4 linked regions of the Drosophila melanogaster genome follow. The protein of the gene in region 2 interacts with the protein of the main gene of each other region in a pairwise test. Each region holds a gene or a part of one and is shown on either strand. Other genes may lie near its edges.

Region 1 (7,300 bases), on a different chromosome or scaffold from region 2:
AATTGTGATTTTTTTTTAACAAAAAACTGCAAAAAGGAAAATCTGATATTTTCCTTATAACTTGGCGAAGAAGGTGGTAGAGCCAAAAAGTAACCGTTGTTTACTGTTCGTCATTTCGAAAGAAATGTGGGAGGATTACTAAAATCCTTTAAATAGTATATCGTCAAATAGTTTGGCCATTCCTTTGTCCTAGACAATCATCCCCTGTGTTTTACGTGCGCCTTATTATCTAGCCACTCCTCCAGGAACTTGGCAATCAAATCTTTTCCCAATTGCACGCCCAATTTATTCGGGCTTACTTTCATGTCCTCGGAGAGGCCATACAAGTGGGCGGGGCCGGCTGACCGACATATAATCATGGGGCCTTGCCCTCATCGCTATCATTCTGCGACTTTAAGCGTCTAACAACATTAGATACTGTTTATTATTGCGCAAGTTTCAGTTTGGTATTATACCTATGGTACTCAGGAACTCTTAAAATCTTAAATTTAACAGTCCCAGTGCAAAACATCATATGAAAGTTGACTGTGGCCATTTATTCAAGTTATTCTAGAGGGCTCTTAAAAAAAAAAAAAAAGTTATTGCAATTTCATGCACTTAATAATAAATAAGATGTATTCTGTGGCAATGAAGGGTGTCAATGGTACGGCGAAAGTTCTTACAGAGAATATGTATGACTAAACTACGTGTGCCAAAAGTTTCGAGAGCTAAGGCGGTGGCGGATTGACCTTGGCGTATTTAGAGAACAGCTGCGTCATCTTGCCGAGCAGTGTATCCTGACTGGCCGTGGACAAGTTACCGACGGCGTAGGCCCAATTCTTCACCACGAGATCCGGACTGCAAGTGGACAAATTGATCTCAGGCAGGAACTCCTGCGGGCTAACTTCCTGAGTGTTCTTCGCAAGCGATTCGTTTAACTGGTTGAGCTGCTGTGGCGTGCGGACTGTCAGCTGGGCGTTCGGCTTCACCTGCTTATAGATTTCCGACATGTGGTGCAAGTACTTGTGGCCCATTGTACATTGATTGCTTGGATCGGCGATCTTCAGATTGCGCATCTCGCGCAGAGCGTACTGCAGACCAAGGCGGCATTCGGTCACTGCAAAATATGTACTTTTAATCAAATGTCTAAATTGACATATTTGCAAATGATTACCTGTGGCATGCAACTCCTTTGATACGCGAACCCAGGCGGCTCGCTTGTCCAGAGTGCTCGCCCGCTCGAAGCTGTTTGGTTGGCTACGCAATTTCTTACACAACTCAAACGCCTCAATGGGGGATAGATTGTTACAGGTGACACTTCTCGCTGGGGTCGGCCGCTTTTGGGCGGTGGAGATATTCTTGTCTTTATGAGACTTGACGTTGGCGTTTGACGCTGGCTTGCTTTCGCTTGTCTTTTTGGACACGGAAACGCCATCAGGTACAGGAATAGGTTGGGCATCGGGTGCCAAAGCTAGAGCCGGAGCTGGAGCAATTTGAGTGAGAGTTTCAGTGCTTCTCACGCTATTCAACTTGCCGGTAAGCAAGCGCTTGGCCTCCTCCGTCTCCCATGGCTTGGGTTCTTTGGAAAAGCCCGTTAAAAGTTTGCTCGGTGTAAATTTGGTCTTATCGATATGATCGGAGGACGTTAGAGCCTCGTGCATTTTGCAGCGCTTCACCTCCTCTGACATCCTGTTGTGCACTATATAGTAGTAGGGCTCGAGCGGATGGTAGCGCACATTGACCAGAAACCTGAGTTGCTCCAGTGCCTGCCACCAATTCTGCGGCCAGGGATTATCGATGCCGCGCTCTAAATCATCCAGGTATGTGCGGAAGGCGAACTTAAACATTGACCAAATATCCCGATGATTGACTGCAAAAGAACAGAAAATTACTAATAAATGATTGGCTTATAACATTTATTAAACATACGATTTGGGAATTTAAGGCGGGCCTCCCGCCACACCTCCTGCTTCTCCTGATTCGTCAACTGGGGCGGAGCTTGAGCATCTTCGCCAGGTCGCGGCCTGCGTAAATCGCAGTAGAGGTACTCGTACTTCGCGAAGAAGCGTATTACTTCCGGCAACACGTTCTTGTGATTCAACCACTGGTATTTTAGCGCTATCTCGTCAAATTTGCCAAACAAGCGATTCGATTTTTCCCACACTTTTTCGCTGTACTTAAACGGACGCATCAGTTCCGACATCGGCGCAATTTTTGGAAACACACTCATGTTGGCCGCCAAGAATTTCCAGCATGCGCGCAAAGCTTCCTCTGCAGAACAAAAGAACGTATGAGCCAATGTTTCTAATATATATATAGTTACTCCTACCTGGCATGTGAAACTTCTTGGCGATAAAATGCCAGAACTCAACACACTTGGCCGCCAACTGTGGATCTTCCTTGTGCAGCTGCGGCACAGCCATCACCTCGCGGATCAACGTCGTCGTCCTAATCATATTGAGATTGAAGCGAGTACCCTGATTTCCGCACCAAACTTGCAGTTCATTCCCAGTGGTATCACTCTCGTGCAGACACACGGTTATGTTGCCAAGCGGCAAGTTCTCCGGCTGACTGCCTAGGGTTGCGGATGCGGCTGCAGTTGCTTTTATATCTGACTGCGATGCTGTTGTTGCCTTGGCTACTGTCGGCAATTTGGCTGGTCTGACCACTGGTGCTGATATTGCTGCTCCCACAGCTTTAGCCTGGCTTGCTAATGTGCCCTGTATTGTGGCATATGAGTCAGATGCAGCTTGTGTTGCAGATGTAGGAAATAATGGTGTTTTTCGTATGACTCGAGTTGTTTGTCCAGTGGCGATTGGTGGCGTAGTTACAGGCAGCTCAGTTGCTGGTTCTGTTGCAGGTTTGGCCATCCTGGTTGCTGCTGTAGGTAGTACTGCTACCGGTACGATTGGTTGATATTTTTTGGGGTTTACTAATGTTGTTGCTGGCAATTTGGGCTTTGGTGGTATTATTTTTGCTCTCGCTGGTTCCGCAGTTGCTACAATAGGAGCAGCTGCAGGCGAAGATGTGGTTAATAGTGATCTTATTGGCTTACTGAACGGAGCGCTATTGCTTTTGCCATCCCAAGCGCTTTTCAGTCCCGGCTGGTGTATTCGTACCATTGGAGCCGCAGTGGGTGTTGGCAGATTGCTTTTAGCTGTAATATTCGATGTTGTTATTGGTACAAAATTTGGCAGTGTTTGTTGCGGAGCTGGTGAACGTATTTGCGATGGATTTTGTGGCCTAAGCAGTTCACCCAGTGTCGACATTGGCCCTCCGGATACCCTGTCTTGAGTTTGAGCTGGATTGGTTGGATTCGTTGTTCGAATTACAGTGCGGGGGACTACAGGTGCCATTTGCGGTCTACTGGCCATTTGAGGCTTCGTATGGAGCTTAACCTGTAAGCCAGGACCCTGCGTTATCTGTGGACGCACTTCAGGCGGCTTTGCGTTTGGGCCCGCCATCTGATTGGTGGTGGCGATGGGGGACACGCCCGTTCCCATAGTCGCCGCCGGCTTGGGCAAAATTCGTACGTTGGGCACAAACTTTAGGGGTATCATATATCCCGAGCCCACACTGATGGCGGACGTGATTTTGGGAATCACAAACTTGGGAAGAGCTTGATCGGGCGATACACTCGAACTGACGCTGTTCGTTGCGGCGGCGGCGGTGGATGTGTTGTTAATGACTGGGCCAGAGGACCTCCTAACATTGGTGAAGGTGGGGCCAATGCTTGTGGCAGTGCTTGCACTGTTGGTCATGCTCGTGCTGCTGCCTTTTGAGGTGGACGGATAGACAATAGCCAATGGCATACGTACCGGCACCGGTGTTTTGGCCGGAGGCTCCCCCGCCACTGGTATGGCGCCGTTGGCTGTCCGCTTTAGTGCGGGACGGGCCGTGGAACGAGAGGTAACTGGCGTTAAGGCCAGACCCATGGAGCCCTCAAAGAACCACTTGTCCTGCAGCTGATAGCCGGATGAGCGCACGGCCTGCAATTCGTGGTAAAAGGCGCGCAGCACCAGCCAGGTGACCTCGCAGTGCTCGTGACTACACATCACTTCCATGCCGACCTTCTGCCAGAATTCGTCGTAGCGCGGCGGTTTCACCTTGTTGTGCAGGGAGTCCTCCGTCAGCTGAACTAGTTCTGGCATGTTGCGCATCGTGGTGATCAGCGCCATCACAGTGTGGAAATTCTCAATGGGCTCGTGCCAACCGTTTTGCAGGTACTTGGAAGACTTGCATACGGTGCCGCGCATGCGCTGTACGTGCGGTTCCATGAAGTCCATCAACCGACACAGCTCCGAAGTGCCGATATGACGTGGGCGATGGATTAACTCCCATTCGTAGCGAGTCTGCAGCTTTAGCCAGCACTTCATCAGCTTGGTGGCTTTGTCATGGACTTCGTTTGAAATGGCACTCCAGATTAGAAAGCGATGTCGTGTGTTCTGATAGCCCGTGCACGTGCTATCGTACAGAAGGGGATAGGCACTGACTGCCTCTATGAGGCGACGCTGTAACCTGTTGCAACGGTAGTTATAGGTGGGGTCCTCCTCGACATCCAAATCTATGATGTCCATTGGCGGATTCTCTATGACCTCCACATCGGGCCGGGTTTCGCTCTCATCCACATGCTCTTTTTCAAGAATCTCTGTCGGAATCTTGTCGACAATCAGTGGGAATCTGGCCACATGGGTATACATGAAGCGCATCTCTTCCTCGTATTCCATGCAAGGACGCCAACGCAGGGCCGCCCGATCTTTTTGGATGGCACTGCGATGAAAGTTTCTTAGACGACGAACATGGCGCTGATATTTATATCGCAGCGCCGACCAGGATCTCTTGCAGTTGGTCGCATTCGTTGCCAGGCGGCTGGCGATTTTTTTCCATTGTTTCTCCCTTTGAGCGACGTCGCGGAATTTCGGATGCCGGGCGTCATACAATAGCGGCTGGCGGCGTACCAAAGCGATGAGCAGCCTCTCTGCCCTATAGGTTTGCAGAATGCCGCCATCCCGAGATCCCGGATAAGTGCATCTGCTGAACGGATTTGGGGCCTTATCGTCATCCACGCCATTCGTCTTCTGACCAATTGTGTCAGCTTTGAGGAAAAAAAAAAACGGAAGTTAGTTGAACGGCTGACCAGGTGACCAACTGTCGGACTTACAAACAATTATCTGGCAATCATTTTCAATGGCAACAGGCTCCTCCTCCATGTCCTAGACACCTGATAGCTCCAATCTTGACCTACGCGCGCCTTTCCCCCACACAAGCCGTCGAGAATTCTCGGAACGGAGAAACCGGTGGGCAATCCGATGGAACCACTGCTTCACTCTTCACTCTTTTGTAGCATAAAATCACTCGGAAATAGTTTGGGAACAACTTGCAACTACAGGATTATTAAGTGCAAGCGTATCTACGTAAATATATCTACGTAAATAAGGTTTCTTGCGACGCCAGATAGTCGGCGGTTGCAAACGCAAAATGGTTAAAGAGCGTTATCGACCACGGATACCGTTATCGAAACATTCGATTAATATTTGAGTGTGAAATAGAATTGTATAGCTAAATATTTTTGTTTGTGTTAAGTTAAACAAAAATAAGTTGAAAAAACACGTTACAATTTGTAAAGCTACATTCTAGTAGCTACCCATTTGGATATCAGTGGAGTTATCGATAGCAGCCAAGCGCTGAGAGCAGAATATTTCGTTAAGTTCTCCCACTTGCGAGCACTCCAATTTCTTCGTTCTGGCAACGCTGCTTACCAGTCAGCTGTTTAGCCGGCAGGTTTTTCAACGAATGTTTTCATAACGCGTTTTCCATTCAAATTCAATTGAATTGAATTAATTTACAACCAAATATCGCTCTAAAACATGTGGGCAAGAACAAACTACCTCTGGCGAAGTGTGGGACGTCTGCGCCGCCAAGTATGCACGACGATCGTTTCACCAGCGCGAATATTTGCGGACCGAGAGAATCAGTTCGCCCATGGAATCCTGATGGATTCTCTCAAACCGTATGCAATACTGCGTCCTCGGGACTCCGCCTGGCAGGATTTGCCCGCATCTGAAGGCTTTATGCGGCCACAGCCAGATGCCAGTGCTGCCGATCTCTATGCGGACTTTTTAGGCCTGGTGAGGCACTGTAATCGCATGGAACTGAAGATCAGCGATAGCCGCTACGAAGCCTTTACCCGCTGCTTCTGTGAGCAGCTGCATCGCCTTACGGATGAACAACTTCTTGGATCGCTTAGTGCCTTGGCCGAGCTGCCCGTACCGGAATCGCCCAAAGCCAAGAACTACATGGAGATATGGAATACCCTGGACATCGAGTGCTGTCGCCGCATCGAGCGATGGTCCAGTGAACAATTGCTACTCGTGAGCGATGCCTGGTATCGTCTTGGTCTGGTCAGGATAGGCGAGTACGTGTGGCTGGCGCTGAAAAAGCTCGGCCGCAAGCTGCGAAAGCTGCCGCCAGAACAGCTCGTTCACTCCATGTTCCTGTGCAATCTACTGCGCCGACCCGTCTTCGAGATGTTCGATTTCGAGTTGAATCTGGCCCGCTGCGTGGATCAAATGACGCTGTCCGAATTGGGCGTAATGGCCATGGGCTTCTTTAAGACACAGACGCCTATCAGAAATCCGGAGCTGCTAACGCAACTCTATCAGCGATTAGGCAGCGAGCTGGACACCGTGGAAGACATTGTCCTGGTAGCGCTGCTCAAGGTGCTGCGGTACAGCAGCAAGCTGCCACAAGTGGAGCCGCTAAAGAAGATGTTAAGCGCTCTAGAGTCGCAAGTGGATCGCGTTTCCCTCCTCACGTGCCTGCACATGGCTCTTCTGGGCTGTGAACTGCAAACGTGCAATGATGCACTGGTGGAGCGCATACTGCTGAGATTCGAGCGTGAGTTAGAGACTGCCCGCCTCAAGGATATGGAGCGAATTTGTCTGGTAATGGCCCTTTTCAATATTACAACTAAGTCGGGAGTGGAACGCCGGTTGGCGGAGAGATTGCCCGATTTGCTGCGCCAGCGTATAGAGGAGATACTGCGCCATCCTCGTTGTTTCTCCAACTGCCTTCAGTTTCTCACAATGCGTGGTGTTTACGATCTTGAGCTTTTGGGCGTGGCACTGGAGCCGCGTTTCCTGAAGCATGCGTACCCAAGCGGATTGCCCGGGCGTGAGTACTTCCATTTGGATGGGTTCGCACGCCTCCTGGGGCCGGAATACCAGGGAGCACTGGTTACCGAGAAGCAACGACAGCAGATGGGCCGCAATTACACGCAGTACATCCCCGATCGGGACGGACGCTTCAAGCTGAATAATAC
Region 2 (5,608 bases):
CTGATGGAAGTAACGTTAATAAATTAAATAAAACAACGTACAACAAGGTGGCTTCAAGTATTAAAGCTTTTGGGGTTGCCCTGATAGGATTCATTTAGATTAGAACTACGATCAGATTGAGTACGTATATATATTAGAAACGTGGAGGTTAATTACTACAATCAAAACATACAGTGCTCGGTACGGGGAGTTCATATTCGTTTTAACAATACTTACAATCCAGGCTTTGCTCACCATTTTGAGCCACCCAAACCAATTCGTGATTGCGATTGAGTAGGTATTCAGCCCTTGTGAGTATCTCTTCGGAACAGATAACTTAAGTCTTTTATACCTGGCTTATCCCACATCTTCTCCAGCTACTTTTAAAACTCTTCTACTTGGACAGTGAATGATCTTCTTAGATAGATGGTAAACCTAAGCCCATTTGCATCGAATTACAGCGCGACCTATTTAAATTACGCCCTTTGCAAAGAAGGGAACGGTTCCAATTTGCAAGAAATGATGGGATGTTTACTAAAATATGTACGAAATTTATTATTGGTGTGAAGCGTACAAATTAAAGATCTATCATTATGTATCTATATATAATCGTTTATATGTACACTCAATTACACTTACGGGCTATGCAGAAATCAGCTTACGTCAATTACTTAAACAAATGTAGCGTCATACTCTTAATTACCTACGGGAAACAATTCCGTATTCTTTTAATCGATTGCCATCGGTCCGCGACCGCCCAATTGCGCTGGTGCAACATGGTCGACACTGCTAACTTAACTAAGACACAGGAGATCGTTGAGGCGTTGATGTTGGCAGGCAGCAGATTCCGCCGCCCGATCATGTCAGATGCGGCGTGGCCGCAGTCGCCGATTTCCCCGCAAAGAATCGACTTCCGCCTGTCTGGTTGGTGAAGAGTAGCGTGTCAACTGAGGGCAGCATCTGATTGGATCTCACCAGAAGAGGCACATTCACCATGGACACAGAGGGTGTCTGGGCCAAGCTCGTGGTCACAGACTGAACACCATTGCCCGTACTACTAAGCTTTCCGTGTGCATTCAGCGTAAAGGCGGGTAGATAGTAGTTCCCAGATCGCACTGGTAGAGCATTCGTCGATATGGCGACACTGGAGGCGCATGAGACAGCGGTCAGCTCCATGGAGGCGGGTGACGAAAACGGCGAGGACTCCAGTGAGGGGCAAGGTAGTCGGTCGCTGGGCTTACAAGGCACTACAAATATAAAATTTTAAATTAATATAAAGTTTTTAAAAGGAATACTATTTTATACGAATAACTAGGTAAATCAATTCATAAAACAGGACATTTTCATTAGAAACTTACAGAAGTCATCGTCTGGCAACAGCTCGTCCGGTAATTCATTCTTTATCTGGAAGTGCAGGGCAGCGGCCGAATCGGAAATGGCGTTGTCCGACGTCCCCATTTCAGTGTTTGCATTAGGAGCATCGTACAGACCGCACTCCTCCATCTCCAGGGCCTGCTCCATGATCAGCTCTTCGGCTGAAGTCAGACTAAGACCGTGTAAGTCAAGGAACGGACCCTGAGTCTGCACTGGCTCCTTCTTGATTTGCGGCACAGCAGGAATGGGCTCTAAGCTGGACTGCTGGGGTTGGCCCTGTTGCAGCAGCTGCGGTTTTTGCTGCAGTTGCTTCGGTGCTAGCTGCTTTCGTTCTCGCTTGGCTTTGGTCTGCTTAGGAGCCGGCGGGGCCAGCGGCACCAGCACAGTGGTAAGTTCCTGCTGATGCTGTTGCGCCAGCGGCACAGGATGCACTTGCTGCAGAGCAGTACCGGCAGGTAGAGTTATTCCCAATGCAGCAAGAGTGGCCTGCTGCGGCTGCTTCTTTTTCCGCGCTTGTTTTGCAGGAGCCGGTGCAGCAGTAGACGTAAGATTAGCCTTGGCTTTAAGTTCACTAGAAGCGGAGAGTTCGTTGGGATTCACAGCTGAAGATGCTGCCGCCGCTGCTGCTGCTGCCGCGGCTGCCTTTTGGGCCTTGTTTGTAGTGGACTTTTTAGAGCAGTAGGAGGGAATGTTCTCGAGGTGTTCGCCCGTTTTGTGGTCCACCTTGTGTCGGCGTCTCGTGTGCTTCAACCAATTGGGGAAGTTGGTGAAGTCTCGCGGACAATAATTGCATTTGAACGGGCGCATTCCTGTGTGTATGTTGGAGTGCTGCTTAAGCTTCGAATTGCTGATGAAGCTCTTGTCGCACACTGTGCACGCGAATGGTCGCTGCTCAAGATGCACCAAGTTGTGGACCTTGAGACAGCGCTCCGTTTTGTACATCTTGCCGCACTTTTCGCAACGATAGGAACGCGTTTGCGCATGGTACTTCTGGTGGCGCTGCAGATGTGAGCGCTCCTGGAATCGCTTCTGACACTCGGGACACTCGTACGGCTTCTCCGATGAGTGAATCCGTGCGTGGTGCGTGAGGTTTATTTTTTGCACAAACTTTTGGCCGCAGATGTCGCACTGGTACTTCTTGTTATCGCTGTGAATCTTCCGATGCATCCACATGCTTCCCAATTTGAGGCTAAAGTTAGAGTAAAATGGTCAATAGGAATAACTATTTTTAGTTTGCAGTAACACTTACCACTTGCCGCAGTCAGGACACTTCTTCCAGGTGTCCTTGCGGCCCTCGGTGCGGTGCGTCTTTAGGTGCTTCTTCAAACCAGCCAACAACTCGAATTCCCGCTGGCACTCGCTGCAACGATAGGTGAGCCTCAGCCTGTGAGCGGCCGCCTCATGCTTGGCCACCTCATCGGGCGTCTCCAGCAGCAGTCCGTTGCAGTCGAGACACTTGTGTAGAGGTGCCGGGTCCACCTCCAACGGCTTCGTTTCCGAAGCAGCCGGAGGCGGCATGCTAGCCGCATCCGCCACCGATTCAGCCGATTTGGCCTGCTGGAATATGGTAAACGATGGCGGCAGCAGCTCAGACTCGCACACCTCTACCTTGGTGACCACTTGCTCCGGCGGATGCTTCTCCTCGGGCGGCTCCTCCTTAAAGACCTTCAGACGCACCGCCGTCGCCGCCGGCAGCTTTGGCTTGCGTTGCAGCAGCTGAGACTGGGGCATTTGGAGCTGATGCTGCTGGTGGAGCTGCTCGGGCGATAGCTTTACGGGTGTGGAGGTGCCGCTGGACGAAGTCTTCTTAAACGGGGAATTAGTGAAAGCATTCGGGGGCTCGGGCCGCAGGAAAGTCACACTAAACTCCGAGCTGGAGTGGTTATCACTGGTCAGAGTGCTGGGCACGGTTGACGAGCTGGTGGCAGCCAAGTCATCGCGGCAGACGTCCGAGGATAGATTCAGCTCGGTGTTGTTCTGGGCACTCTCGTCCAAAACGCGCCAAAAGTCGGTGGAGGAGAGACTGTTACCATTGACCAGGCTGGCGGAGCTGATGGTCACGCACGCCGACAGATCGATGTCCAGCGACTCGTCCTTGATGCTCGATATCGAGTCGAAGTTGTTGATCCGCAGCAGAGAGCTGAGTATCTCGTCGTGGGCCGCCTTCGTGGGGGTGCCCGCATCGCCGCCGTAGATTTTAGGCGGCAACTTCTTGCTTGGCGCCTCCTCTTTCATTCTCTTGCCCTCGCCCTTGCCGCCTTCCATTCGCCTTGCCTTGCTTACACGTACAGGTTATGCGGTCGGCGTTTTCGCTCGCCGTATTTTGTCTTTGTTCGCCGCGCCGCTGACGCTTTGCGTTCACTGGTCGCCGTTGCCCGGTCACTGGGTCCCCAATTCACTCATCGCGATCGCTTTCGTTGTATTAAACGCGCCGCAATTGATCGAAAAACATTTAATTATTGTGAAATGCGCCTTGGCTTTGTTGTTTTTGTCACGCTTACAATTCTCGAGTCGCCATTTTGAGAACAGTGTTAGAAGACGCGCACGAGTGGCAGTCCCGCTAAGAGTGATGCTCGCCAGGCGGGTTATTAGCTATATTTAATTCACGACTGGATTCACCATTCTAAATAACATTTAAAGAGATTTCTTGACTCAAAAAGAAATCTTGTCCGACAAGGAAACATTTTACTTACCAATTCCATTTACATGTTTGTATTTACTTGATATAATTCACGATTATGTTGTATAGAAACTATAACAATTTTTTGGGCTTTTAAAATCCTATGCATTGAACATTCAAACCCTAAATATTAAAGGAAGTAGGCCCAATGATTGTGTTATTTGTTTATGTTTTTTATGTTAACTTAATAACCCACTAATTTATAATATGTGTAACATTAAACAAATTTTATCTTCTTTCATTAAGAATTATTTATGGTGATATTTAAAGTCCTCTTACCATAAAATATTTAAATTATATTTCTAGCTGGAACATGTAATTTCTGCTAGAATTTGTATGTTGAGATAGGTTCTGCATGCGCACGCCAAAAAATGAACTAGTTCGCCGAACTGGAAAAACACTGAGCACTTAGGCTATTTTCGTTATTAAATTATATTTTTTGATAGATTGTATATAATTCATTCATCAATGCTAAAAAATGATAAATATCGAAATTCGAAAAACCTCTGAAAAATATTCAAAATATAGCTATGAGTCAGTCGTCAGTCTTGACCAAACAAAGAGATATCGATATTGGCGGGACATGTATATCGATACCACGTTGCAATGTTAATATGGCGTCAGAGGGCGAAAACGTTGTTATGGAAAGTCCAGGTAAATTGATGAAAAATTACAAATACGTGCATTCCTTCGACCGGACCTAGTGACCGTTGATTAAAAATTCAGTCCTTACTAGCCCATTTCGGTAGCTGACACTGACAGTTAGCTGGAGCAGCCCATTAAAGCATTTGGAAAAAAGTGAACATCACGAGGCAGCGAACAACCCACAACACCGCGCGTACAGTTTATGTAAACCGCATGGATTAACCAAGAAAGTTAATTGACGTTTTCCAGGTCGCCGCACACGTTCTGGTCGGAAGGCCGCATCCCCGGCTGCATCGCTGCCAACCAGAAGCACCCGGCGCACATCCAAGCGGAACGTACAGGTCAGTTCATCCCACGTAGTTACCGCCTCTTCCAGATCATCAGCCAATGATGTAAACGATTGCAATTTCCAGTGTGGGTGTGGCGTTGTTCCATCCGCACATGATTCTTCTCCCTGGAGGAGCGAGTGATTACCTGCAAGGGCCAACTGAAGGCACAGCATCCACAAATGCTCTGAGAAATGCCGGGAACCTTCATTAACGACTTTTAATCCTTTCAGCTAAGTGACCACGAAGAGGAGGCCGAAGAGCAAGTGGTCATGGTTCAGGAAGAGGAGGAGCCCTTTAGAGGGACAAACACTGCGGAGGCACCTGCTTTGGAGCCCCAATTCGAGGAGACTCAGCACCAGATAGAGGATGACGTGGAAATGCTGCCAGCCGAAGCTGCTGGGGTTGATGAAAAGAGCTCTTCCTTCCCGTTTGGCACGGTGGCGGAGCTGCATTCAGAGACTAGTGATGATATTAAAGAGACACGCGGTCAGGCTGGCGTGGACACCCTACTGGCTTCTTTAGCCGGCGATAATGCCAACAGCCTGCCCTCCGTGGGTGGAAATGACGAGAGTGACAATGTCAAGAAGGCGGACTTTGAGTA
Region 3 (7,661 bases), on a different chromosome or scaffold from region 2:
TTAATTATGATTTTTATACAGATCCTCCAGAGCTTTTCCATCACCTGCACGCTGACAACCACTACCGTAATGAGTAGGAATAGAAAGAAAGAAAGGCTGCCTTTGGAAAAAATTTCCAGCGGATGTGGTGCGCGTCATGCGCGTCATGTGCGCGCCAGACGTGCAACATGCAAAAACACGTTCGCCTCTGCATTTGCTATCGATAACCGATAGCCACTGGCTGACCACACATACATCCCATACACCGCTGCCATTGACCGTTTTGTTTCGATCTTATTAGATTTATTTGTTATTTTGGGTTTTTTTTTTGCTTTTTTTTTGCTAATTTAAAAAATTAATAGTTAATACATACAACTACTTAGTGCTCTGTTTACGCGCTACATATTCTGGATTAGGTTTAGTTGGATCTCCACCATCGATCGTAGTTATCTTTTTATTTTAGCTGCATTTCTTCGATTTTCAGTGGCTTTCGGGGCGTCACAGTGTTTCATTTCATTTAGCTTTCTGGGTTTCCGGTGGACTTTTGTGCCTGCCAGGCATCCGTATTGCACTTGATCCTTGATCTCCGCTTACTCTGACTTTTTACAAAATCTACCATTGAAGTACATTAACACTTTAAAAAACAGATTAAAAAAAAATATACGCTTATTGATAACTATAGACAATCCCTACTGTTCGCAGATATCTCCATCGTTTGTGCGTCCAACGCCTGATATTCCGGCGGAAATGGAGGCCTGGCTAGCACGTCATCCACACATATCCCTTCTAGCGATTGGTGCTGCGACTGTGACGCCTCCGCGAACCTCATTTGGTCTTCATCACAATGATTGGCTCGAGTATCTTTAGCATGTCATTGTTTTCGGGTGCTCCCGTTCCACTGCCGCCGCCAGAACCAGCAGCTCCTCCTCCGCCTCCACCGCCGGCTGCATTTGCATAATCCTTGACCGTCTGCAGTTTACTGAAGCCAGGATGCTGCTGCTGATGGAGCTGCTGCTGCTGGTGCTGACTGATGGTCACCAGGCGGTGCTGCTGGTTCAACACAATCGCCTCGTGATGCGGATGCGGCACCAAATGTTGCTGCTGAAGGCTGCCGGCAATCTGCTGCAGCTCATGCTGCTGCAATTGCAGCGCCGGCAACTGTTCGTGATCGTTGGAGCCATCGCCACCGCCCAATGGTGAATCGTCGTTGTCGGCCTTCACCACCGAAACGAAGCCACCATCACTGCCCGTGCCAGTGACCGAAACGGCTTCACTTTCGTACATATGATGCTCGGCACTGGTGTCATCGTCCTGGCACTCATCTTCTTCCTCGGTTTTGGCACGGAACTCGGTGCTGGTGGCGCTGCTGCTGCGCGGCGTGTGGCTGCGCATGCGTCGCATTCGCGCATATTCCGCCTGCTTGGACAGTCGCTCCTTGCGCTCGTCCGTATTCTCGGTGGCTCGGATCTGGGCCCGCTTCAGTCGTGCCCGTTCGCTCAGCTTCTGTAGACGCGTGGCCCGCTGCTCGGGCGTCTCATTGGCACGCACCGCTCGCTGGTGTGCGGCCATCTTGTCCAAACGTATTCGCTTCTCCTCCTCCGTCTCGTATTTGTTAGCACCGCTGCGTCGCGGCGTCAACACTGGCGTTCGACTGTCGCCATCGGCCGTGGAATGTACATGAATCTGGCTGAGCTCCTGATGATGTTGCTGCGATGCCTGCGACAGTGGCCTGCCGCGACGCGGCGTACTGGTGGCCAGCTGCGGTGCGGACAGCATCTGATTGAGCTCCTGCTCCAGCAGACTGTTCACCTTTAGCTGCTCCTCGCTGGGCAACGGATTCTTTCGCGGCCTGCCCCTGCCAACAGGTGTGGTCACAATTTGTGGCGCCGCCGCCGACGACGCGCCTGTCTGTTGTTGCTCCTGCTGTCCCAATCCAGTGACCGTTAGCGTTGGATTCGCCGCCAGTATGTTATACTGTCCGGGACTATTGCCACCACTGGCGTTGGCAAAGTTGACGGGCGTAAACGGCGGCGGCACTGCATTCGGCCCGATGCCAATCTGGAAGCCATTGTGGTACATTGGATAGTAGGCGGTGGTGGTTGTACCGCCGGCGCCCGTTGTTGTACCCGCCGTTACCACGCCCACGTGTCCGACATTGGTGGTACTGGTGGTGCTGTTGCCGCTGCTGGTGGTGTTAGGGAAGGTGGCCAGGTAGGGGAATTGATTATACAGCTGCTGCGCCTGGCCGGGCGTCGCCTTAAGCAGCTTCTGTTCCCCGCTGGCCGTCGTCACGATCACCTTGGTCTCGTTGTGGCCGAGGCTAACAGACCCGCTGTTATCATTGCCGCCCGCTGATACCGTAGCATCGTTGTCCGACTGCAAGAAGGGATAGAAGGGATTGGCAAGCCAACGGGTGAGTCGGTTTGATTCTGCGGGTTATGGGACTATCGGTTTGGAATTCTGGTATAAATCTTAATCTTCGCAATCACAGCAATCTTCGGTAATTGAATTTTACAAATCATTGCAACCTAATTTCGTAATTTGAGTGATAAGATTGATTGATGTGATTGAAGGTGGTCTTATAGATTGGTTTTCGAAAAGAACCGAGTGCGAGTGATAGAGCGAAAGGGATAGATGGAGGACACACACACACACACACACGAACGCACACCTGTACAAGGGAATTAAAACCACTTTTTGTTTGTTTCTGGTTGGTAAAAGTATTTTGTTCTTAGGTTCAAGATTTACATTGCTACATATATCTACACTCTATACGATTGATTAATTCATTTGCTTCTGACCAAAAAAAAGAACTAACACAAGTAATATGAACAACGAACAATAATGTTAACTGAAATAAACTTATACGATTTTCGCTTTTGATCAAAAGAGGAGTTAAAATGCGGGTAAGGCAACGCGCAAAAAAAAAGAGAGGTCCATTGGCCGCTTCTTCTGCCAATTTCCATTGAATTCTATATATTTTCAAAATTCCTACTTTCCGGTTTCAAGCATTTTCCTTTGAGGCAGTTGATTTCGCCAACTGCAAGGAAAATATTTGAAATTTACGAGTATTGGCAATTGTTTGATATTTTACCAGCGCTACGAATTTGTATTCGATTCCAAATTCCTCTGCAACTGTAAAAATCATTTATTGTTATTATTCAGGAATCAAGCTAAATTAGGCTAATCATGTTTTGATTTTACGTTTACTGGAAGTAGATAGTGCCCTTTTTTTCTAATACCGATTAGATTTCAAATAAATAGTGTTTCTAGATAACAAATTACATTGATGGATTCATGGGCAAGATGAGGTTCCTGGAGGATGCCAAACTTTAGTTTTGCTGCGTTACTTTGTGTGTGTGTGCGTGATTTAGTTGCTATCGCCGATCATTCTTGCTATCTACTACGCCTACTGCATACGCACCTGAAGTTCCTGCTTCTTGGCAGCATATTTGTGCGGGTAGAGTTCCAGCTGGCCACCGGCGATGCTGAAGTGCGGCACATGGGCCTGGAGCAGCTTTGCGGTGCCCTTGCCACCCTCATCGCCATAGATCTGCTGCACAAAGATGCTGCCCGGCTCGGTGCCCTCGAGCAGAGCAGCCGTAACCTGTTGCTGCTGCTGTCCGGTGATGGTGTATCGCTGATGCTGCTGCTGCAGCTGCTGCTGTGTAATCTGCTGCTGCTGCGGCGTCTGTGGCTCCTGCTTCAGTTGCATGGGTGGACGTAGGGAGCCGGGCGCCAGAAACATGCCCTGTCCCATATACTCCACTCCGGCCAGGGCCTGGTGTTGCTGATAGGCGGCTGCTGTCACCAGATGCTGCTGATCCTCCGCGGGCTGCGGGGTGCCTGCCTCGTCCGTTGTCGTCGTCGTCGCTGTGGTGGTCGCCTGGTTTAGATTGATAGTGTGTTCGTTAGTACAATTGGCTGCCGCCGCTGCTGCGGCTGCTGCTGCAACAGCCAGCACCTGCTGCTGTTGTTGCTGCTGCTGTTGTTGCTGCTGTTGCTGCTGCTGCTGCTGGTGGTGGTGCTGCTGGTCCGTTGACGACGAGGAGGATGTCGGCGTTGAGACGACCACCGACGACGAACCACCGTGCACCACAACATGCTTCAGTACCTTCTTCTTTTCTCTGACCTTTTTGGCATAATCGTTCAGCTTTCTCAGTCTTTCCTTCCGCTCCTCCGGTGACTCATTGGCGATCCTTTGGCGCGCCCTTGCCGCCATTTCTGCCAGCCGGAGCTTTCGCTGATCGTTCGTCTCGCTGGCGCGATACATGCGCATCCTTTCGGCCAATTTGGCCAGCCGTTTGGCCCTCTGGTCCGGCGACTCCATGGCCCGGCGTAGCCGTTGCCTGGCCGCATTCCTCACTAGCCGCATGGCCCGCTCTATGTCGGATTCATTCTGGCGTCTCTGGCGATTGGCTTCTGCATTCCGGAGTAGTCGCTTGCGATACTCCTCCTCGCTCTCGCGCTGCCGGCGTTCCCGCATCCTTTCAGCATTTCTGGCCAGACGGCGCTGGCGTGCCTCGGGGCTCTCGTTCCACCTCTGCTGGTGGCCAGTGGTGGAGGCACCTGTTATGGATGCGGAACTGGCACTGCTGGTGGGTCCCAATGGAGTGGGTGGCTGCTGCGATTGCTGCTGCTGCAATTGCTGTTGCTTCAGTGGTGCATAAAGCTGGAGATGCTGTTGCTGGAACTGCAGTTGATCCTGTTGCTGCTGGTGAAGATGTTGCTGCTGGAACTGTTGCTGTTGTTGCTGATGCTGCTGCTGCTGTTGTTGATGTTGCTGCTGTACGTGCTGCTGCTGTTGTTGCTGCTGTTGCAATTGCAGCTGGTGATGCGAGGAGAGTGGTACCAACAAAGCTGAGGGATGCTCGATGAGCAGGCGGGCATTGGAGCCATTGATGGCCAGCACATGGGTGGCGTACTGCTGCTGATCAAGTGAGGGCTCTATTTTTATCCCATTGGGATCTGGTTCCATTCTTGGTCAAAAGCCGGGGCAACAACAATCGAAATTGTCGTCTATCGGGGCTCCAAAAGTGTACTGTTTGTTATGTATATATATATATTTATATATATATTTATAGATATATATCTATATATGTGTATATAGACGATGGGTATTTGGTTATCGAAAGGATGAGCGCAGTCCTTCCGATTGTTTCGATAACATCTAGGGGCCGCGCTCTTGCTCGCCCCCTCTCTTTCGCACGCTCTGGGCCGTCTCCCGCTCTTTTTTTCGTCCGCTGCTCCTTGGCGTTTCCTCTTTGTGTTTGTTTTGTTTCGCTTTTTGCTTACTAGTAGTTATATAAAGAATATGTGTGTGCTGGCGCCGTTTCTCTCTCGCACTCTATTTTTGCGGCGATCACTCCGCTATTGTTATTGTGGTCCTCGGGCATTTCTTTCGTTCCCTTTTTGGCTATGAGCGGTATTCTTCTTCTCCATTTTTAGCATTATGCACTTTATTACCGTTCGTATTTGGCCATTACAATTTTTCGTGCGTTTTCATAAAAGCGTGCTTCTTCTTGCGAGTCAGTGACAATTGGCGCCGCCGCCGCGCTGCTTCTGCGCTGCCAATCGATTTTTCACATGATTATACACACACACCCATGCAGCCGCCGTCCGCACACACAAGCACGCACTGCTAAACACACACACACACACGCGCAACGAAGCAATACGCAACGTACGTGTGTGCGAGTTTTTTTCCGCTCCTTATTTTGCTTTTTGCACAAACCTTAACCCTTTGATTTGTAATTCCATTTATTCGCCGTGCTGCGGTGCATCCAGGCGCCTTTTCTCTTGGTGGGTTAAAAGGATGTTCTGTGGCGGCGCAGCGTTAACTTAACTACCGGGAATTTTCCACATAGCTGGGACCAGCGTATATCTGCCACTTCCGATCGCACCGTAATGTCATTAACTTGAAGTATGCGTACTTGTTCGCAATCCGTGGTACTGTATCTTTAATTTAATTTAATTCATCTTATTTCAGTTGTTTTCATTTCAACAATCGTTCTGTTCACAGTAGGGATGGTAAAAAGTATCGATACATCGATAGTTGAGCAGGCTGTCGATTCATTGGAAAATGCAACTGATTAACCGATGTTCCGCTTGAAATATCGCCCGGGTTTATTTTACAATTTGGAAATTAGTCTTGCAGGCAGATAATATTTATATTATTATTTGGCTGCAGTTTTGCAGTACCATATTACAGAATATATGTACTATTTTTCCATACTTAATGTTATAGTTAGATCAGCTTGTCGATAGCTTGATGTTTGAAATCGATTTTTTAAAAATCAAGCGTAACGTCAAGACATGGATAATTCTATTTCAATTGTAACAAATTTTCGCCTCTTGGCCACACTGTTTTAAAGCTTACTTTACATAACAATCAACTATGTTATGTTATGTTAACAGGGCATTAACATTCCAAAGCTTTCAAATCTTTTTGAAATGAATAAATGCGATTTATAAAAGTGAATTAAACTATTTATATAAAATTAGAAACTATATTATTTCCAATAAGAGCATTTCGTTGATAATCGTAGATAATCGTATATATAATAGGATTAGTTCAGTAGCATGTGCTGAATGGAGTTTGTAAATTATTTATATTTTATATTTAAATGTATTTTAGATGGGAGTTTTTAATTTGTTTAATTGCTGTGATACTTAAATGTACAACAAGCATACGGATGGCGATCCTGAGAATGGGACCCACCCTTCAGGTTCATCGAGGACATTCTGTCAGATTTGAAGGAAATTTTCAAAATTGTAGTGTTATTATCAACCATTCCTGATCATTTCCGGTTGATAACGCTTTTACTTTTTTTTAGATTATCACTATTCCCTATTAAATTCCCACCAAAGCTCAGAACGCAGCATTTAAAAATTGTGAATGCAACTTTATTCAAGTATATTCATTTTGTTATTCTCGTTTTTTTTCGCTTATATTTTTCTGTTTCTGTTTTCACTTTCTTGGTGTTGTGTTTTGTTTGTTGATTTTTCTTGTTGTGTGTTGTCATTGTTAGTGTACACGAATATTACAATACACAAAAATGTATCTCAATCTTATGTCTTAAGGCAAAAAACAATTGATAAACGTATTTAGACAGGAGAAAAACAATTTGAAATTTCGACTAGAACTTAATGGTTACACTTTATTAATAATAATTAGCATAATATATATATATACATATGTATATATATGTATATATAAATATATATCATGTATATATCATGTGGGCCCGCGCGGAAGGACATGGGCGTGGGAAGAGGCTGAGGATATGGATAAGGATAAGGTCTAGGAAAAGTGGGCGGTTGGATGTTGGCTGGGGAAGGGAGGAAGGATTGCGTGCTTTAACAAATATTGCGTTATGTGCCTGGCTACGGATCATGTGTGTATGCTCCAACTATATATGTATATATATATATATATATATATAAATTTGTATATATACATATATTTATGTGGGAGCTGCCGAGTGTGTGTATATTATCCTTATGTGAGTGGCGCTGTCCGTTTTGGGTTACATGCCTTTACCAACTTACACACACATATGGGGGTTGTTCGTCACTAGGGTGCCTCAGTTGTTGTGGAAAAATACGATTTTTGAATGTTATAGCAAGTTTCGCCCGAGGATTTCCTCGAAAGGCACTTGTTGCCTCGTCCATCCGCGATG
Region 4 (4,587 bases), about 16 Mb from region 2:
GGTTACGATGCCATGGTGCTTCCATCTTAACCGCACAAGAGCCACTCGCGCCACACCCTGAGGCACTTAATTGCGGCGGCACCCCTCGCCCTTTTTGAACAGCATCCCCCATACGGAGTGCTACCTGTACTCAAGCCAACCCGAGTTTGGGGTGCGTGTGCTATCTGAGCTGAACTGGCGGCACTTTTGCTGCCATCTAATTAGACATTGTGGCTGCATTAATTGCCAGGAACTTGGACTTTATGGCTTTTCGGGGTAGAAGATTCTTTCGTGCGGATACCGAAAGTTTTTATTGCCGTGTCAGATAAAAGTCGAATTAGCGTTTGCCTAATTTGCGCTTGACAATTTGCCAGAGCATAAATATACTAAATATGTTGGCGATATATAGACTCATGGTATGCAGTGGTGTCTCTATACGTACATAATTTAACCGCCATTGTGTTCTATATTCTTGGCGAGCTTGTGCGCAATATACTCGTAAATAAATAAATTGCCCACAGGAATTTCACAATACTTTTGCGAGCAGCTTTGCATGCATAATTCACGAGTATGAATTTCATGTGCCAGAGCCCAAACAAGGCAAAAATCAATCAAATTAAATTGAAAATGAAAATCATAAAGCTCCCACGCGCCCCCAAAACTCAACTGAAATGATTTAAGAGGTAGGTAGATTGTGGCAGAAACTTGAGCATGATTTCTAGCCACATTTTCCATAGTTTCCATCCTCGATTCAGAGCTCACAATTTCACAATTTAATTATCGATGCTGAAACGGCAGAGTAGGTTGAGTATAAAGTTGTGAATGCCTGCCGGCAACTGGGAATTTCTGTTTTTGTTTCCATTGCCAGTCGCAAGTTTGTTCGGCATTGTCCTGGCCGAAACCCCTGACCTCTGTCCTCCCAGGAGCCTTGGACTTTTGCCCACAATTTGCATTCTCCTCCGTGAATTCAGGCCTCAATTTATCGAATTTTGCAATTGACTGGGCATACAGGCCACAATAATTCAACTGCTGGCTTTGCATTTAGTTCCGAGTAATATTTGATAGTGTTGTGGTTGCAAAATTGTTTTATTTACCAAATCCAAATGCGTAGTGCTTGACACAAGCAGTAACCATTTAACCATTAAATGTCAGCTGTTAAATAAATTATTGGACTCGTAATTAATTCCAATTGCATTAACAGCATTCGAAAAAGAGCAGAATTTGGCTAATTTTTTAATTTATATATTGGAATTGGTTGGCCATGAATCGGTTTTGCAAGTGATAATTCTATTTGCCGGCCAAAGCAATCAAAATTAACATTTTCATTTGTTGTTGATTAACATTTCTAATGTACTCCCCGTGTTGTCATTACATTTGCCCATAATAATTTCAATTTGTTCTTCAGTGAGGTATAGTTATCCTGAGAAACTTTTTCAATTTACGCCACTGCCTGTTAATTATGAGTTTTTAACTACAAATCAGTTGGGCGAACGAAAAAAATTGTCTTGCAATTAAGGCAGCGAATTAAAAACTGAGCAACGCTTGCCAGATGAGCAGCAGCAGCAGCAGCGTAATGTGAATGAATTAGCTCGATTTGCATGGAAATTTCATAAATATGTAAGCCGGACTTTGGGTGGTTGGGTGTCAAATTGAGGAGCGTGCTCAAAAAGCGGGAGAAAAGCAAACAAAATTGCACAACCCCCAAAGGTACGAGTAATCAAAGCAAAAATTACCTAATTAACATAATCCGCAGTGGCCAAATGAGGCGGCTTCTGCTCTTCTCCTCCCAGGCTTCTGGTGGTTTTTTTTTTCTCCTATTCGAGGGGGAGTTGTGGGCGTGGCCAGTCGGTAAGGATGTCGTCTGGTTTGGTCGTTGATTAGCGCTGCCTTTTGCTCTACACTCGCATTCGCGTCCTGCGTTTGTCTGTCTGCGTAAATCCTCTGTGATAAGTTGTCTAGGACGTGATCCTGTTCACGTTTCTCGTTCTGATTAATATGCACAGACGTTTAAATTTCGTTTTTTCCCTGCTTTCGGTTTATTTTCGGGGGTTTTGTTTATGGTTTATTCACTTCGCCTGCTGTTTGCTTTAAGTCTTTTTCCCGGGCACTGATGCACTGCAAATGGATATTTTACCGTGAGCTTTACGAGCTAGCTTTCACCTGCTTTTGCAGGCGAGCGGAAATGAGCAGATTCTTACACACACACACACACACACACGCATAGTGCACACTCAAAGACACGTACACACATACATGCAACTGGCGGAAATGAGTGGAACACGCGAAATTCTTTATCCGGTATGCTGGCAAAGTTCTTAAAAGTTTTTATATTCAAACAACACACTCTATCCCAGAACCATGCTTTACAATGTTTACTCTGTTTTAACTGGACACAAAATAAACCTCTTTCTGAATTCATTCATTCCACAGCTTTAGTGCTAGAAGTATATTCATATAAAATATTCTATTCTATGCATTAAGACATAATTCTGCTCATCAGCTGTTTTACGAACGCTAAATTTTCATCTCAAAAATTTATTATGTTCGCATTCATACGAATTTTATTCCTTAAAGCATGGATATATGAATATATCTGATATTAAAAAATAAAGGCATACAAATATATATTCTCAAAATAACAACCTCCCACTGAATACAGTCAGTATCATAAATAATGTGTTAGCTATGAGGATGTTCCAATCCCAATTCCCATTTCGACGCCTTGCTGTCTGCTAGCTAGAAAATACAAAAAATATGTTGACATTTCGCCTTTTTCTACCGGAAGTTGGCTAACATCACAAATACCAACGCAACACGCACAATACAAAAACACACGCCAACCACACAGTTCAAAACAAGCTCGATCTGCTCTACCTGGTAACTTTTTTATATTTATTTTTGGCTTTGGTTAGAATCGCACAGTTTCTGGAGGCAGTTAGTTAGTTAGTTGTTTGTGGCCTCTTCACACGGCACTTGGCACTTGGTTTTTGTTTGATTGAATCGACGCTTTCTCGGGTCGCGTGTCCTGGCCTCGATGTATTTAGCACTAGACTGAGCTGCTCACTCGGCAAGGACATGCTTTTAAGCCATCCTCCGGAGTTCGAAATTCGAAATAGTCGCTGGGCGCCTGCGCGGTTTCTCTTTTCTATTCGGTGAGCAGCTGGCTGATTTGCTCTTCAAGCTGCTGACTGCGTTTTGTTATTATTTTGTTTATGTCCCTGTCAGCAGAGATGTGTGTGTGTGTGTGTTTGTCATCACCTGTTAGCATTTGCGAGTCCTTGAAATTCGGCTCAGTTTCTTGCACAACCTGAGCGACCAAAATCCACCCACTCGGTTGGCAGATGCTGCCTGTGACATTGTCTTTGCCATTATGTAATAATTACAAAGACATACGCACACGTGTTAAACTTCAAATTAATTGCTACCCAAAAGTCTAGGGATATTTGGGCATGGACATGGGCATGAATATGAGTACACAGGGTCCTTGGATGGACATGGCAGGACATTTTCTACTGCTGACCACAGCCCAAACACCAGGCACGTTCCCGTTTTGTATGCTGCTACCAGGATGTGCGGAATATCCAGCACTGAAGGTCATGTAATGATAAGGGGGAGTGGTTGGTCCAAACAGGGGTCGTGGCGAATATGCGTTCAGGTGTTGTCCAGGTGCAAGCGACGCGCAAAAGTCATTAAGTGTGGCCTGCAAAGTGTGATGCACCCCGACAACTGAACAAACATTAGGCTTAATTAACTAGACTGGTGTGTTACTCTTTATTAAACTAGGATATTTTAAAATAACAGAATGTGCACCTTAGGTCACAAGTAAAATATAAAACTGTTTCAGTAATCTAAATGATAAATAGCCAAGTTTATATAAACTTACGATGCTTTTGGGAAAATAGACATTCATAAATAGCTGTTTAAACCACAATATTACCTTCTAAACGCATTTAAATATCCTATTGAATTGAAATATTTAATATGTCTCTTTTTATTAAAGTATGTCTTGTTTAGTGTCTGGTAATTCCGTGTAAGCCAAGCAACTTGGACTTCGTGAGTTTCAAAGTGCCATCATGACTTCCAGACTTCGAGCCATGAAGTTTGGGCCATAGCCTGACTACCCTGAAGTTACCGCTTATAACAAGAACATCAACAACGCCGTAACGAGGTTCATGTTTAATGGCCGTGCAGTCGCAGTCCTTCGGATGGAGTAAGGTGTTGTTGTGCCGGAGAGTGGGATGGCTATAGGGCCGTATGACTATATCCACAATCCTGTCGGGTGTCGGGCCAACAAATGCAGCTACAAAGGCAGCCCAAAAGACATGCACTAATATCGTGTGCTGTCCGTGTTGCATTTCTCCCCGACCACGCACCTTGCCCCTTCGTGTGCCATGTTTTTGGGCTTACAGCTTGAACCTGACACAGAAAATTGTATTTTAATGACGGAGCATAGCGTCACTGCCAACGACAGGGGACAGGGCACACGGTACAGGAGCAGCAGCAGGAGCAGAAACAGGGACACGGACTGAAATGCCAGTGGAGACCCCATTCAAGACGTTAATAAAGCGACGCACACGCAGCACATTCCATGGGTGTAAGGTGCTAAAG

The links.
Region 1: the proteins of wdn (region 2) and Hmr interact in a two-hybrid assay, tested with the Drosophila melanogaster proteins (one large-scale study listed by BioGRID).
Region 3: the proteins of wdn (region 2) and CG14442 interact in a two-hybrid assay, tested with the Drosophila melanogaster proteins (one large-scale study listed by BioGRID).
Region 4: the proteins of wdn (region 2) and 2mit interact in a two-hybrid assay, tested with the Drosophila melanogaster proteins (one large-scale study listed by BioGRID).

What each region holds. Positions count from the first base shown.
Region 1 is NC_004354.4:10,590,404-10,597,703, forward strand, and holds Hmr (hybrid male rescue), read right to left. Parts: upstream 5,453-7,300; 5' UTR 5,190-5,452; coding exon 5,141-5,189; intron 5,075-5,140; coding exon 2,309-5,074; intron 2,251-2,308; coding exon 1,909-2,250; intron 1,850-1,908; coding exon 1,154-1,849; intron 1,097-1,153; coding exon 708-1,096; 3' UTR 517-707; downstream 1-516. Other genes in the region: CG2124 (uncharacterized protein), read left to right, coding at 5,847-7,300.
Region 2 is NT_033777.3:28,807,468-28,813,075, forward strand, and holds wdn (wings down), read right to left. Parts: upstream 3,871-5,608; 5' UTR 3,619-3,870; coding exon 2,603-3,618; intron 2,543-2,602; coding exon 1,338-2,542; intron 1,227-1,337; coding exon 838-1,226; 3' UTR 516-837; downstream 1-515. Other genes in the region: Prp39 (pre-mRNA processing factor 39), read left to right, coding at 4,648-4,687, 4,928-5,019, 5,238-5,608. UniProt on the Drosophila melanogaster protein: May belong to a complex set of multifingered proteins which play an important role in gene activation or regulation at early embryonic stages through a maximal accumulation of their transcripts (or protein product) in the mature oocyte.
Region 3 is NC_004354.4:6,689,000-6,696,660, forward strand, and holds CG14442 (uncharacterized protein), read right to left. Parts: upstream 6,003-7,661; 5' UTR 4,958-6,002; coding exon 3,404-4,957; intron 3,115-3,403; coding exon of another isoform or gene 3,079-3,114; exon of another isoform or gene 3,074-3,078; intron 3,020-3,073; exon of another isoform or gene 2,683-3,019; intron 2,356-2,682; coding exon 805-2,355; 3' UTR 297-804; downstream 1-296.
Region 4 is NT_033777.3:13,152,656-13,157,242, forward strand, and holds the start of 2mit (2mit), read right to left. Parts: upstream 3,033-4,587; 5' UTR 2,854-3,032; intron 2,095-2,853; 5' UTR 1,713-2,094; intron 1-1,712.